Arabidopsis thaliana: one gene and its partners. The protein of the gene in region 1 interacts with the protein of each later gene in a pairwise test. Each region holds a gene or a part of one and is shown on either strand. Other genes may lie near its edges. The genes, in order: AT3G59470, LOL2 and CRC.

Evidence for each region.
Region 2: the proteins of AT3G59470 (region 1) and LOL2 interact in a two-hybrid assay, tested with the Arabidopsis thaliana proteins (one large-scale study listed by BioGRID).
Region 3: the proteins of AT3G59470 (region 1) and CRC interact in a two-hybrid assay, tested with the Arabidopsis thaliana proteins (one large-scale study listed by BioGRID).

Annotation. Positions count from the first base shown.
Region 1 is NC_003074.8:21,979,176-21,982,933, reverse strand, and holds the start of AT3G59470 (Far-red impaired responsive (FAR1) family protein), read left to right. Parts: upstream 1-2,094; 5' UTR 2,095-2,405; coding exon 2,406-2,406; exon of another isoform or gene 2,407-2,801; coding exon 2,802-3,391; intron 3,392-3,634; coding exon 3,635-3,758.
Region 2 is NC_003075.7:11,486,997-11,490,754, reverse strand, and holds LOL2 (lsd one like 2), read right to left. Parts: upstream 1,780-3,758; 5' UTR 1,687-1,779; coding exon 1,518-1,686; intron 1,336-1,517; coding exon 1,228-1,335; intron 770-1,227; coding exon 660-769; coding exon of another isoform or gene 603-659; exon of another isoform or gene 536-602; coding exon 455-535; 3' UTR 332-454; downstream 1-331. Other genes in the region: ENDO5 (endonuclease 5), read right to left, coding at 3,520-3,638, 3,722-3,758. UniProt on the Arabidopsis thaliana protein: Putative zinc finger that may be involved in programmed cell death and defense response.
Region 3 is NC_003070.9:26,007,267-26,011,024, forward strand, and holds CRC (Plant-specific transcription factor YABBY family protein), read right to left. Parts: upstream 1,876-3,758; 5' UTR 1,675-1,875; coding exon 1,573-1,674; intron 1,395-1,572; coding exon 1,275-1,394; intron 1,182-1,274; coding exon 1,073-1,181; intron 973-1,072; coding exon 924-972; intron 809-923; coding exon 733-808; intron 637-732; coding exon 574-636; intron 495-573; coding exon 468-494; 3' UTR 84-467; downstream 1-83. UniProt on the Arabidopsis thaliana protein: Transcription factor required for the initiation of nectary development. Also involved in suppressing early radial growth of the gynoecium, in promoting its later elongation and in fusion of its carpels by regulating both cell division and expansion.

The DNA of each region.
Region 1 (3,758 bases):
ATTCAAATTTATCCATTTAAAGATTGATCAGATAAGATATCTAAACTGTGTTTGGTAACTTATTTTTTAATCGTAATATTCTATTGGTTGTTTACATATATGTTATGATTTGGTGAGATTTAGAGTAAATAGTGATTAATGTTTTTGACCAGATTTTATGCTTCTTCAATGGGACCTAGACGACGTATTTCACAAGGTTAATTTATTAGGGGCTTATCCGTTGTTAAGATAGTACTATTAAGGGGAGTAAAAGATACTATTAATCCTCCTCTTTTGACTCCGAATATTTTGTTTGTTTTGGATAACTTTCTTTTTCAATAAAATACCATTCATGGATAATTTTTTAGGCAAATCTACCAAAATCGAAATGTATTAATGAATGATTTGTTATAATTTAATTTCGCAAGGTTAATTACGAGGGGCTTATATCCGTTGTTGGATAAATATGTTAATATCCTCCTCTAATTTCGATTATCTCATTTGTTAGGATAACTTTTATTTCCGATTACACAAGATATTATCTCATGTAAATCTACTAAATCGAGAAATGCAAATCTGTTACAAATTTTATAAACGGGGCTAGCTTTGACATGTATGATCTTTTTATTTATCAGAGACTATCTACCAAGTACCAACACTATTTGGTTTCCTATTTCCCAAGTTATATTTTATGCATCAGTTATCACTACTAACTAACGACTATCCTTCTTCTTAGACGTTTTATTCCACGTAATTAAAGCGATTTATTGATTTCCAAAAAAAAAAAAAAAAGTGAAGAGAATTTTTAATAAATGCTAAATAAAATGGATATTTTAAAACGCAACGAAAGAAAACCATATGTTACAGATCTTTTTTTTTGGATTACTGATTCATATATATGTGGATGATTTATAATGTCTATAAAAATCTAGAGTTGCGAATTATCTAGGCATGACCAAAATCTAACTGTAACTGTATTTCGGACCGTAATCGGACCGTTTATTAACCGTAACCCAACCGTAACCGTATAAAACGGTTAATAACCGTAACTGTTAACCGTGAAAATAGATTCATTACGGTTAAAAAAATATAATAACCGTAACCGTATCAAAACCGTTGGTTAACCGTACGTTTAACCGCGCGGTTAACCGTATTATTAAAACCTTAAAAATATAGTTGTAACTGTGTATAATTCTAAATAAATAATTATTTTACTAAAATAGTAACTTAAATCGTTTAATATGCCCACTAATACGATCGAAGTTACTCCACTACTCTTTTTACCATAAATCAAATCATAAGTAGTTCATATTATTATTATTTATACTCTAAAAACTGTTTCTTAGTGCTCATAACATCTTTTCTTTATTATTGTTTTTGTTTGAAAAATATAATTAATTAAATCATTATAATTATAACCATTAATTTGTATATTCATTGGTTTATTTAAAAAAAATAGATAGCTGATTCGCTATAAATATTTGAAACACATAATCACGTAAAATAATTATTATTTGATATATCACTATTTATTTATTTATTTTATTATAAAGATTAATATAATATTTTGTCTCATATATTAATTATATCATAATTATCAAATAACCGTAACCGTATCTAACCATAACCGTATTTAACCGTAACCGTTTTAACCGTATATATAACGGTTAATGTTAAGGTTAAAAAAAGTTATAATCATATACGGTGGTTAATAAACCGTAACCGTAATAACCGTAACCGTGGTCATGCCTAAAACTATCTGGATAGGTTTCGATGATAACAGTGATATAAGCTAAATCATGAAATATAAGTAACTGAATATATTACTATGTAATAAGTTTTTTGCTATTCAAAATTTCTATGATTAAAAAAACTTAGCTAATGTAGTTTGGTAGTCAAATCGTATACTAAACCATCATTAGCTGGTTATCAATAGCATTTTAAAGAAAGTTAATTAAACCGGCTGAATTGGCCTGGTTGACACGAACAAAATGAATGCTAGAAATTAGAGAAATTTTGTTAGTACAAGGATGATTATGTAAATGAAGGATAATAAAGGGGTCAATTTTAACATTTATTAAAAGTCATGGACACACCGGTCTAACGGGTGCGTCGGTCGGCGAGAATTACGCTGTAAAAAATAAAATAAAATAAACATGTAATGAAAGAAAAAAAAAGAACATGAGGAATAATCATACGAGGCGAAGCGCACCGGAGGAACCATAAGTCGATAAACCCAAAGCTTAGATGAACGGTGAGTTGACTTCTTTCCGATTTTGACCCAATCATCTATCGCCACGTCATAGGGTACTGCGTCCTCTGCAATCCATACCCTGAACCGGCACCTTCTCTGTCTCTCCCCCAAATCGAAAACCTAATTCGATCGTCGTCTCCGACCTACATCTGCCGGAAAATATCTTTTGACCAGTAAGATTGTTTTATTCCTTACACCATTATTTCGGGTTTTTAATTTTCGATTTTGGATTGATCGATTAAGCCACTTAGACTAGTCCCTGCGAAAGAATGAGACTGAGAAGTTGGACATCTCGATACTTTTGGAAACCCCGATTTGTTGATGACTCTTGAATCTATGGGACGGTGAATCCCAAAGAATGGTTCCATTTTAAGTTTGTTTTGTATTGTTGGTGGAGGCTGGATGATTTTGAGAGCACTTGTACTTGAGCTTTGTTCTCATATCTTGAATTAGACAGTGGAATAGAAAAGATGACAACTTTGTATTAGTAAGATGATGAACACTTGTAGCTCTTCTTGCTAGATATTTGATTAGTGGAATTGCTGTTTTCCCTTTTTTTGAGTTGCAGTGGATTTCAGGATTGATAATGGAGTAGCTGCTGGGATGATGATGGGGATTCCTGTTGAGCTTGAGGTTACCACGGTTGAGAATCATAATGAAATGGGTGAAAGCTCTGGTCAAGCAATGATTGAGCAAGATGATGACAACCATAATGAACTCGGTGAAAATTCTGGTGAGCAAGATGAGAAGGTGGATCTTGATTCTATTCCTCTGGCTGTTGCAGATATGACAGAGGCTCAAGGAGATGAGCCTTACGTTGGCCAGGAGTTCGAATCTGAAGCAGCGGCTCATGGTTTTTATAATGCGTATGCTACTAAAGTAGGGTTCGTCATCCGTGTTAGTAAACTGTCACGGTCAAGGCATGATGGATCTCCCATAGGCAGGCAACTTGTTTGTAACAAGGAAGGTTACAGGTTGCCTAGCAAGCGGGATAAGGTTATTAGACAAAGAGCGGAAACAAGGGTTGGATGTAAAGCAATGATCTTGATTAGAAAAGAGAACTCTGGTAAATGGGTTATCACAAAGTTTGTCAAGGAGCACAATCACTCTTTGATGCCTGGCAGAGTTCGAAGGGGTTGCATTTATGATCAATATCCGGTTAGTTGTTACTCTCTTTCGTTGGTCAATATTTCTTTATATTCAGCCATTGCATTTGAAAATCCAAATTGGCGTTTCTTGGTTAGCTGGTTAATATATATATATATGCTGATGTGATACTGGTTCGTGACTAGTTGCTATATAGCATATTCATATTCATGTGCTGGTGTTTTGATTTTGCTTATATATCAGTTGTTACTAGAAAAGACTTAAATTCTAAAACTTTGCTCTCCTCATTTGCAGAACGAACACGACAAAATTCAGGAACTGATGCAGCAGCTAGCAGCAGAGAAAAAGAGAGCGGCTACTTACAAAAGACATCTGGAGATGCTATTTGAACAGATCGAACAGCACAACGAAAGCCTTT
Region 2 (3,758 bases), on another chromosome or scaffold:
TTGTTAGCTCTCTCGAGGACCCACCATTAGTTTGTATTTTATATGAAACTGTAATGTAAATTATTTATGCATATTTGGTTGGGTAAGAGTCCATGTTTTGTTTGCTATTTATACGACCTAATTATTGAAATTCATTGACAAATTCGGCCAAGTAGACTACTAGTTAGTTTTTCTCACCTGTGAAATATGAATTTTGTTTTTATGTATTGTGTGAGACTGTGAGCTGTGTTTGTTTATATTGGTCCAGTACATATATCAACTTTTGTATGGATATATACACATTCTTTTTAACCACTAAAGCTTAAAACAGTAAAGGATGATGAGCAAGTAATATCTGAAAGAATGGGAATTCAATGAGATTATTAATGGTGATTTTATTTCATCTATCCTTCGACATTATTACAAGGTTTTTAGTCGTCAAACCGGTTCAAAATTGACAAAAATCGGTTCAAGTTTAATTCTCTGCTCTCCTGAGACTGCTTAAACTTTTGAGTGGTCCTTGCTGCTCAGACCATGGAGGTCGTTTGTTGTTTTCCTGAAATATAACACAGTTTATTATAAATGATTCATCAGATGATTACTTACTCGGATCTCAAAATGTATCAACTCTTCCAAGTATGATTTGGACATGGAGCACAAAACCATCTGTGAATACATACACTGATATCTGTGACAGAATTGCAGGAGGAACATCTAACAGCTGGAGCTCCATAAGGATACATCAGTAGCAGTTTGCAATTGTTGCAATTCACCTGACCAACCTGGTTAGCTGCAAACAAAGAACGACAAGTCCAGAACCGATAAGAGAAGAAGGCTATTTCATCAATAATGAGGCCAAGTGATTCACAAGCTAAGAAGAACAATCTTGGTCTTAAGATCACACAATTTCCCCAAGAGTAGTAAGAGTAAAGGATAAAGACCACATAAATGGTCTACAAAGGAGACATTATGATGGAGTAGAGACCAAAAGGCTCACAAAAGCTTAAGAGAAGAATCCTAACCAAAGATCATTCTTGTGTCAGTTAAGAACTAAACTCATTTGGTCTCAGGAAGCTTACATTTTGAGATTCTCAAAAGAACATAGATATATCATTCACACATGCTAAGTAAAACTAGACTGAGAGAGCATTCCAAGATTGTTCCATTAAGAGTTTCAAGTGACTGAGATTATCAACAAAAGCTTTTCAAGTAATGAATAAGAGATAAAAAAGCCATGGAAGAACGAACCTTCAAGAACGAGATTAACAGTCTGACAAGAGGAGCACTTAACATGTTTGGATCCTCTTAGATAAGAAAGCAAACGCCTGCAAGATCCACATACCATTTGGGCCTTTTCTGCAACAACCCCAAAAACAAAGAAGATTTGCAGAAAAAAAACACTAATCAATTCTCGGAATCGAAAATGGGTTATCTCTAAAAGTCTACAAACTCCACTAAAAATCTCTAATTTGATCAGACTGTAGCAAGAAATGGAAGCAAATCGATAAACCCTAAAATAGACAAGACTACAAGAATACCGGGAATTTCTACGGTGGTGGGATTGGGGTTTACGGCGGCGGTGATGGTGACGATTGGAGGAGGAAGAACTGCAGATTCCCATCCCGGAGGCGGACCTTCCTCTTCCTCCTCTTCTTCTTCACGGTGCTTTTGTTCTTCCTTCTGCGTTTGTTGTTGTATCTCTTCCATCACGCCTTCCGTCTCGGCTCCGGCGAAGATGTCCAAAGTTAACTCTCAGATTATTATTACTTTTACCTTTTTAACTTTCCAGTAACGTTGACAAATAGTTGACTTTCTTAATAAATGTAAGGTAAAATTCAATACAAGAACAAACAAAAAAGATTTAGAAAGAAAATCAAAACAAATGATAGTAGATAAATTCGTTATTGCATCGGTGAATCAATGAACAATGTTCACATGACTCTCTTATCAATCAGATGGTAGTAACAACAGCATGCACTACAGCTAAATATTCTAGCTCATCCTTGGCTTTATATACATCGTCAAACCATTCTAGTATCCCCCAAATCTCTCCATCCTTGCGTTTTTCAATCGTAATTTCCGCACACCAAATTTTTCTCACGTTACCCCACTCCTTAGCACTCCACGTACACCACCACCATTTTTCCACCATAATATGCCAATTTAACATTACCATAAACTTTAGGCAATCTTTCCAACCCCTTCATAGTTGTCCATGATCCTTTTTCCGAGTCATACCAATCGATCATACCGTTACCACTTCTATTGCAACAGTAGAACACGTTCTTTATCACACAAAAAAATGATGAGCAACGCCATCCATTATTCATCGCTAAGTCTGCCGCTATCCATCTACCTTTATGCAGCTTGTAAGTCACATTATGAAAATACGACCTTACATAGACAGTTCCTTCATACACTATGCTCTCACACTTATAGCCTGTGCATATCTTCTCCTCACTCGGGAATTGCAAAAACTCCCAAGTTTGGGTTTTCGTATCAAAAACCTCCATCCATTTCGTTGAATCGAGAGTTCCGCGGCCTCCTGTTACATATATTTTCCCATCAAGGACGCAAGTAGATTGGAACACACGGGAAACCTGCATGCTAGGGGCCTCACACCATGTGTGAGTACGACAATCCATGACCATGACGCTAGACGAAGGTTTAGTTCTATTATTACTGAATCCCCCAATAGCGTAGATATTAGGACCAACAGCCACTACACTATCCGACCATGATGCAGATTTAGGATATGAAATTGGGATTAAAATCTTTTTTGAGCTATTTGGTTTGCGGCAAAGAGTGAACCAAATTAATTGTGGGTTAGAAGCGTCATATGTAATCTGCGTTAAGCACACGTACAAACAACTCTCGGTGCGGCCTAAGAGAGTTTGGGTCTGGTAAAGCTCCGTTGAAGTAAGGATAGAGCGGAATCTCTTGGATACTAAAGAGAGAGTTGGATAGTACTATCTTGAGATGCGGGCCAAATTAAACAGTTTAAAACCAAATCATCAGGAAGCATAAGAAAATTCATCCGTCTTCTTTTAAAAGGTGGCTCTTCTCCGTTCATTGCTGTGGAAGTGCACCCGAGAGCGCTAGCTGTGTCGGCTTTGCTTTTTTTTTCTCTCTCTCTTTTAGGGTTTAAGTAGCTTTTCACGTAAGAAACTCTTTTTTGTGTGTTTTGCGCTTAGGCTTTTTATGTCTCACTTGAAATCTTTATATAGCGAATTATCATTCCTAATCTAATGAGGAAATCTAACTTCTTTTTCTATTTTACTCCTTTATGTTAACTTACCTTTTTCATAAGATAAGAAGAAGGATACTAATTAACAAAACTGAAAACAAACAAAAAAAATGCAAAGTGTTATCCGTTAGTGTGGTTTGTTATTGGAAGTTTGAACCATGTCCCAAAATAACAAATTTTTGCATGAAGATTTTGGAGGTTCACTCATTAGTCATGACTCAACCATTCACAGTGTTATAAAAAACACTTAAAAGGAGTTGTTACGTGGGTTCTCAAGGATCTTTTTCTTAGATTCATAATCCTGCGAGCTTCGGTTTTGCAGAAAAGATACGATTAAGAGTAGCTGCCAAGCGAATCCCACCTTGTGCAAGTCTCTTCTCTACAACGGGTAACCGAGAAAGGAAATACTCATCTGCAGAGAAAGCAGAAGATCAAGTCATGTCCATGATTAAAGAAAACAAAAAGCCACGATCTGGTTTCATAGAGTAAGTATACCTCCTAAAGTAGTCCCCGGAGTAGCGTTCCTGTAAGC
Region 3 (3,758 bases), on another chromosome or scaffold:
TCCTTTTCACAGCGTTACAGACAATTTGTATATATACATGTAATGAATATTCGCTGAAAAAGTGAATTTTTACTTTTGTTTTGTTTTGTTCTGTACACTCACGTCATCTGAGGACTGATCTGAGATTCTCGAGTTCGAAGTTACGATGTTGAAAGTTGCAAATCATTGGGGAAAAGAAAAAGTGTCCCAGATGGAATTAAGGAATACGCATATAAAATTTTGATAGGATTAAGACAAATAAAGACCAGACATAAACGTCCAAAGGGACATAGCAAGTGACGTTACTTTCAAATCTAAAGACAGACAGAAATATAAAGTCATAAAAACTAAGGCAACATCATTTTCTGCAACATGACATACATAAGAAAATTACACAGAAGAACAACACAAGATGAGAAAAACGACGCAGCCACTCGCACACGTGCATGCGTTTGTTATTTTTAGGCTTCTTTTCCCCTGAGTTTTGTTCACTTCTTCTCACCGAATCCCAAGCCCTAATTGAACAAAACATTTTAAATCTTTATATAATGTATATAAATATGTCCTTATGCAGACTTAGTTTGTATAGCTTACATGGATCATGTTGTGGCCTCCGGAAGTAATGGAAGTAGGAGAGTTGGGTATGTACTTAGCCCACTGTTTGTGACATTTTTCATTTACACAAACGAAATTGTGAAAAAATAATATTAAAGGTGACAACAATGGTTGGTAACAAAAAGAGACTTGTCTTACATTTTTGGCAGCAGCACTGAAAGCTTCACGGTGTGGTATTTCCGGATTGGCACTTTTGATGCGTTGGATCTCATCCCTTTTTATATTTTGTTTCAAAAAAAGATGAAGAAGAGTACTAAATTATATTTATTTTTTATGCATTAAATTTCATAATTAACTTGGAACTAAAGAGTATATGTCAAAGGTTAAACCTCATGAAGCGGTTGTATGCAGATGGGAGCCTCTGCTTCTTCTCAGGAGCTACAATACCAAAGATGTTCAACAGATAATCATATATATGTAGATAGTGATTAAGTTTATAGAAGAAAAAGGAGTCAGAAATGGTAATAAGCTTAATTACGTTTGACGACAAAGGGAGGTGAGGGAGATGGGGGCTGGTCGCTGGAGGTGGAGGAAGAGGAAGAAGAAGAGCTTCCCTTCTTATAGTCACTTCCACCAAAGCTCTGCATCTGCTTAGTTAAAACAAAGATTGGCTTAGTATCAGTTTTTTGTATAAAAAGAATTATACTCGTATGTATAACTATAACACAAGTGTTATATACCTGAAGGGTGAGGCTAACATGGCCTTGAAGAGGAGGAGTTGTGGTGAGAAACGAGAGGTTACCACAATGGCCGCATTTCACCGTTACCGTGTCAAGCATTCTCTTCAATGGTATCCCAACCTATATATGTGTGTAGATTCGGTTTACAAATTAGCTCGAAAATTTGAAGAAATATATATATATATAACATAAACAACAATATGTATAGCTTAGCATGTATGTGATATTATCAACATATATAGGGTCATGCAAGTATATATATGCTTATATATCTTCTTATATGTAGGTAATAATTTACCGCGAGGATGGTGTTGCAGATGCTACACCGGACGTAGTAGAGATGTTCGGCTTGAGGGGAAGCCCTTGAAGCCGTCATGGTTGGTTTCTCTTCTAGGTTCATGGTCTTTAGCGAATGGATTGAAAACCGCTCTTGAAAGAAAGAGAGAGAGAGAAAGAATCAGAAGAACTTTGTAGAGTTAGGGTTATGCTTATTTTATGAGTTAGGAGGCTTGTATTTATAGAACAATCATAGTGAGACCATGACATATATATATATAGAGAGAGAGAGAGAGCGATACAGATTGTCAAAGTGTTGGACGTGTATATGCAGTCCATAATTGCATTTTTATTGTTTATTTTAACAACATTTAATATCATCTTATCAAAAAAAAAAAAAATGAATATCTTAAACTAATGACTTCTGGTGTAGACACGAGTTTCTAATGGTGACATTATGTGTTTTCTTTTTTTTTTCGTTCTTTTTTTTTGTTAAAGACATTATGTGTTTTCGTTGGATATTTACTTGCTATATATTCTATTTTGTAATCACTGTAAATGTTTTAAAAGATAAAACAAATTGGATCAACAAGTTCGATGATATTAATCTACGTTTCCGCATAAAATTTCTCTGGATATAAAGAAGGAAAAAAAATGATATCATTAAGCTGGCTAGGGATTGCAAGAAAAATTACAAATGTATATTAAACTGATATTTAGAAAAAAGATAGAAGAATTTAATGTAAAAACAAACTTTTTAACAAAAGTAATTTTATGTCAAATCATATATATGAATTAAATTAAAGGGACCGGATCTAGGGGTTTATGACTTTTATCTATGTTGCTACTATTGCAGATGATATAGTACATGCCTCCCTCTGCAAAATCTTGCAGACGTATTTAATTTTGCTTCAAAAATATCAAGACCCTAAATGTCACTCCTCGTACATTAGTTTTTGCTAAAATAAGCTGTGTTGGACATTATTCAACCATGTCTTCGTATAAATATGATTTATAATTAACAATACACCTTAATCATGTGTAATAAAAATAATAACTATTAACTTATCCAAAATTACTCAAGAGAGTGAAAACAATCAATCCAATTAATACTTTCGTAGAATAAATATTTTCAAACAAGCATATACATATGGTGTAAGATACCATTGGTTTAAGATCGATATATCTATGTTTTCACTTTATATTCACTAGCCTCTACATCGTACAGATATTAATTATGACACATATGCGATGCAAAAAGACAAAAATAGATGACCAATTAAGATATTAAAATTATATATTAAACAATACATGGTGTGAATATGATTACATTTATTCAAGTTTGATGCCAGCAAGCCTTGACTTGCCCACATGTTATAAATTAAGAATGGTCCTTTCCTGATCTTTTGATCAGTTTTTTTTTTTTTTGTTTCTCTCATAAAATTTTCACGCAAAATGATTTCACTGCAAAACTGAGGACAAAACTTGTCATGATTCACAACTTTTTTCTTCATCGTGAAATTTTCACTCAATTGCATTAATAAGTTAAATATAAAAATCGTTTAACTGTAGAGAAACAACCAAAACAATGGATCTTCTTCAGAACATCCAACTATACATACATTGGACTCAAAAGCAGAATCTCTTGATTTGCCACTTATATTTATTTTTTTTGTTAAAGGATTTACTTTATGTTTAAGGATGTTTTCTACACTGCACTACAAATTTTCTGTTTGAGGTTATGAGGGTTAACATATATATAAAAGTTAAGTTCTCTATACTGCTGGATTCTGAGTTATGTATAATCATTTTGACATGAGACAAACTATTAGTCCAATCCATAAAAAGAGTGATAACTCATCAACATAGCTTTTTGGGAGCTATACACGCTTTATTGTTGAAATTTGAGACAGAACAAGCATATATATTTGTTGGCATACTAATTATAGAGAAGATGGATTAAGAAGTGTGGGCTTTGAGTTAAATCAAAATCAATTTAAAAAAAATATATTCAAAAAGAGAAACTTGAAAAGATAGTGAAGAAAGGAGGAGCTATAGGATGGATTCCATCTTTTGTGCATGCACTGCCCCCACAGGGAAATTGGAAGGAGACAAGTGATCAATCACACGTCTCTTTCAGTGACTAACTTTTTTGCATTCTTCACTTTCCTTAGATTTCCTACTTCGACACACATATTTAGCTTACTT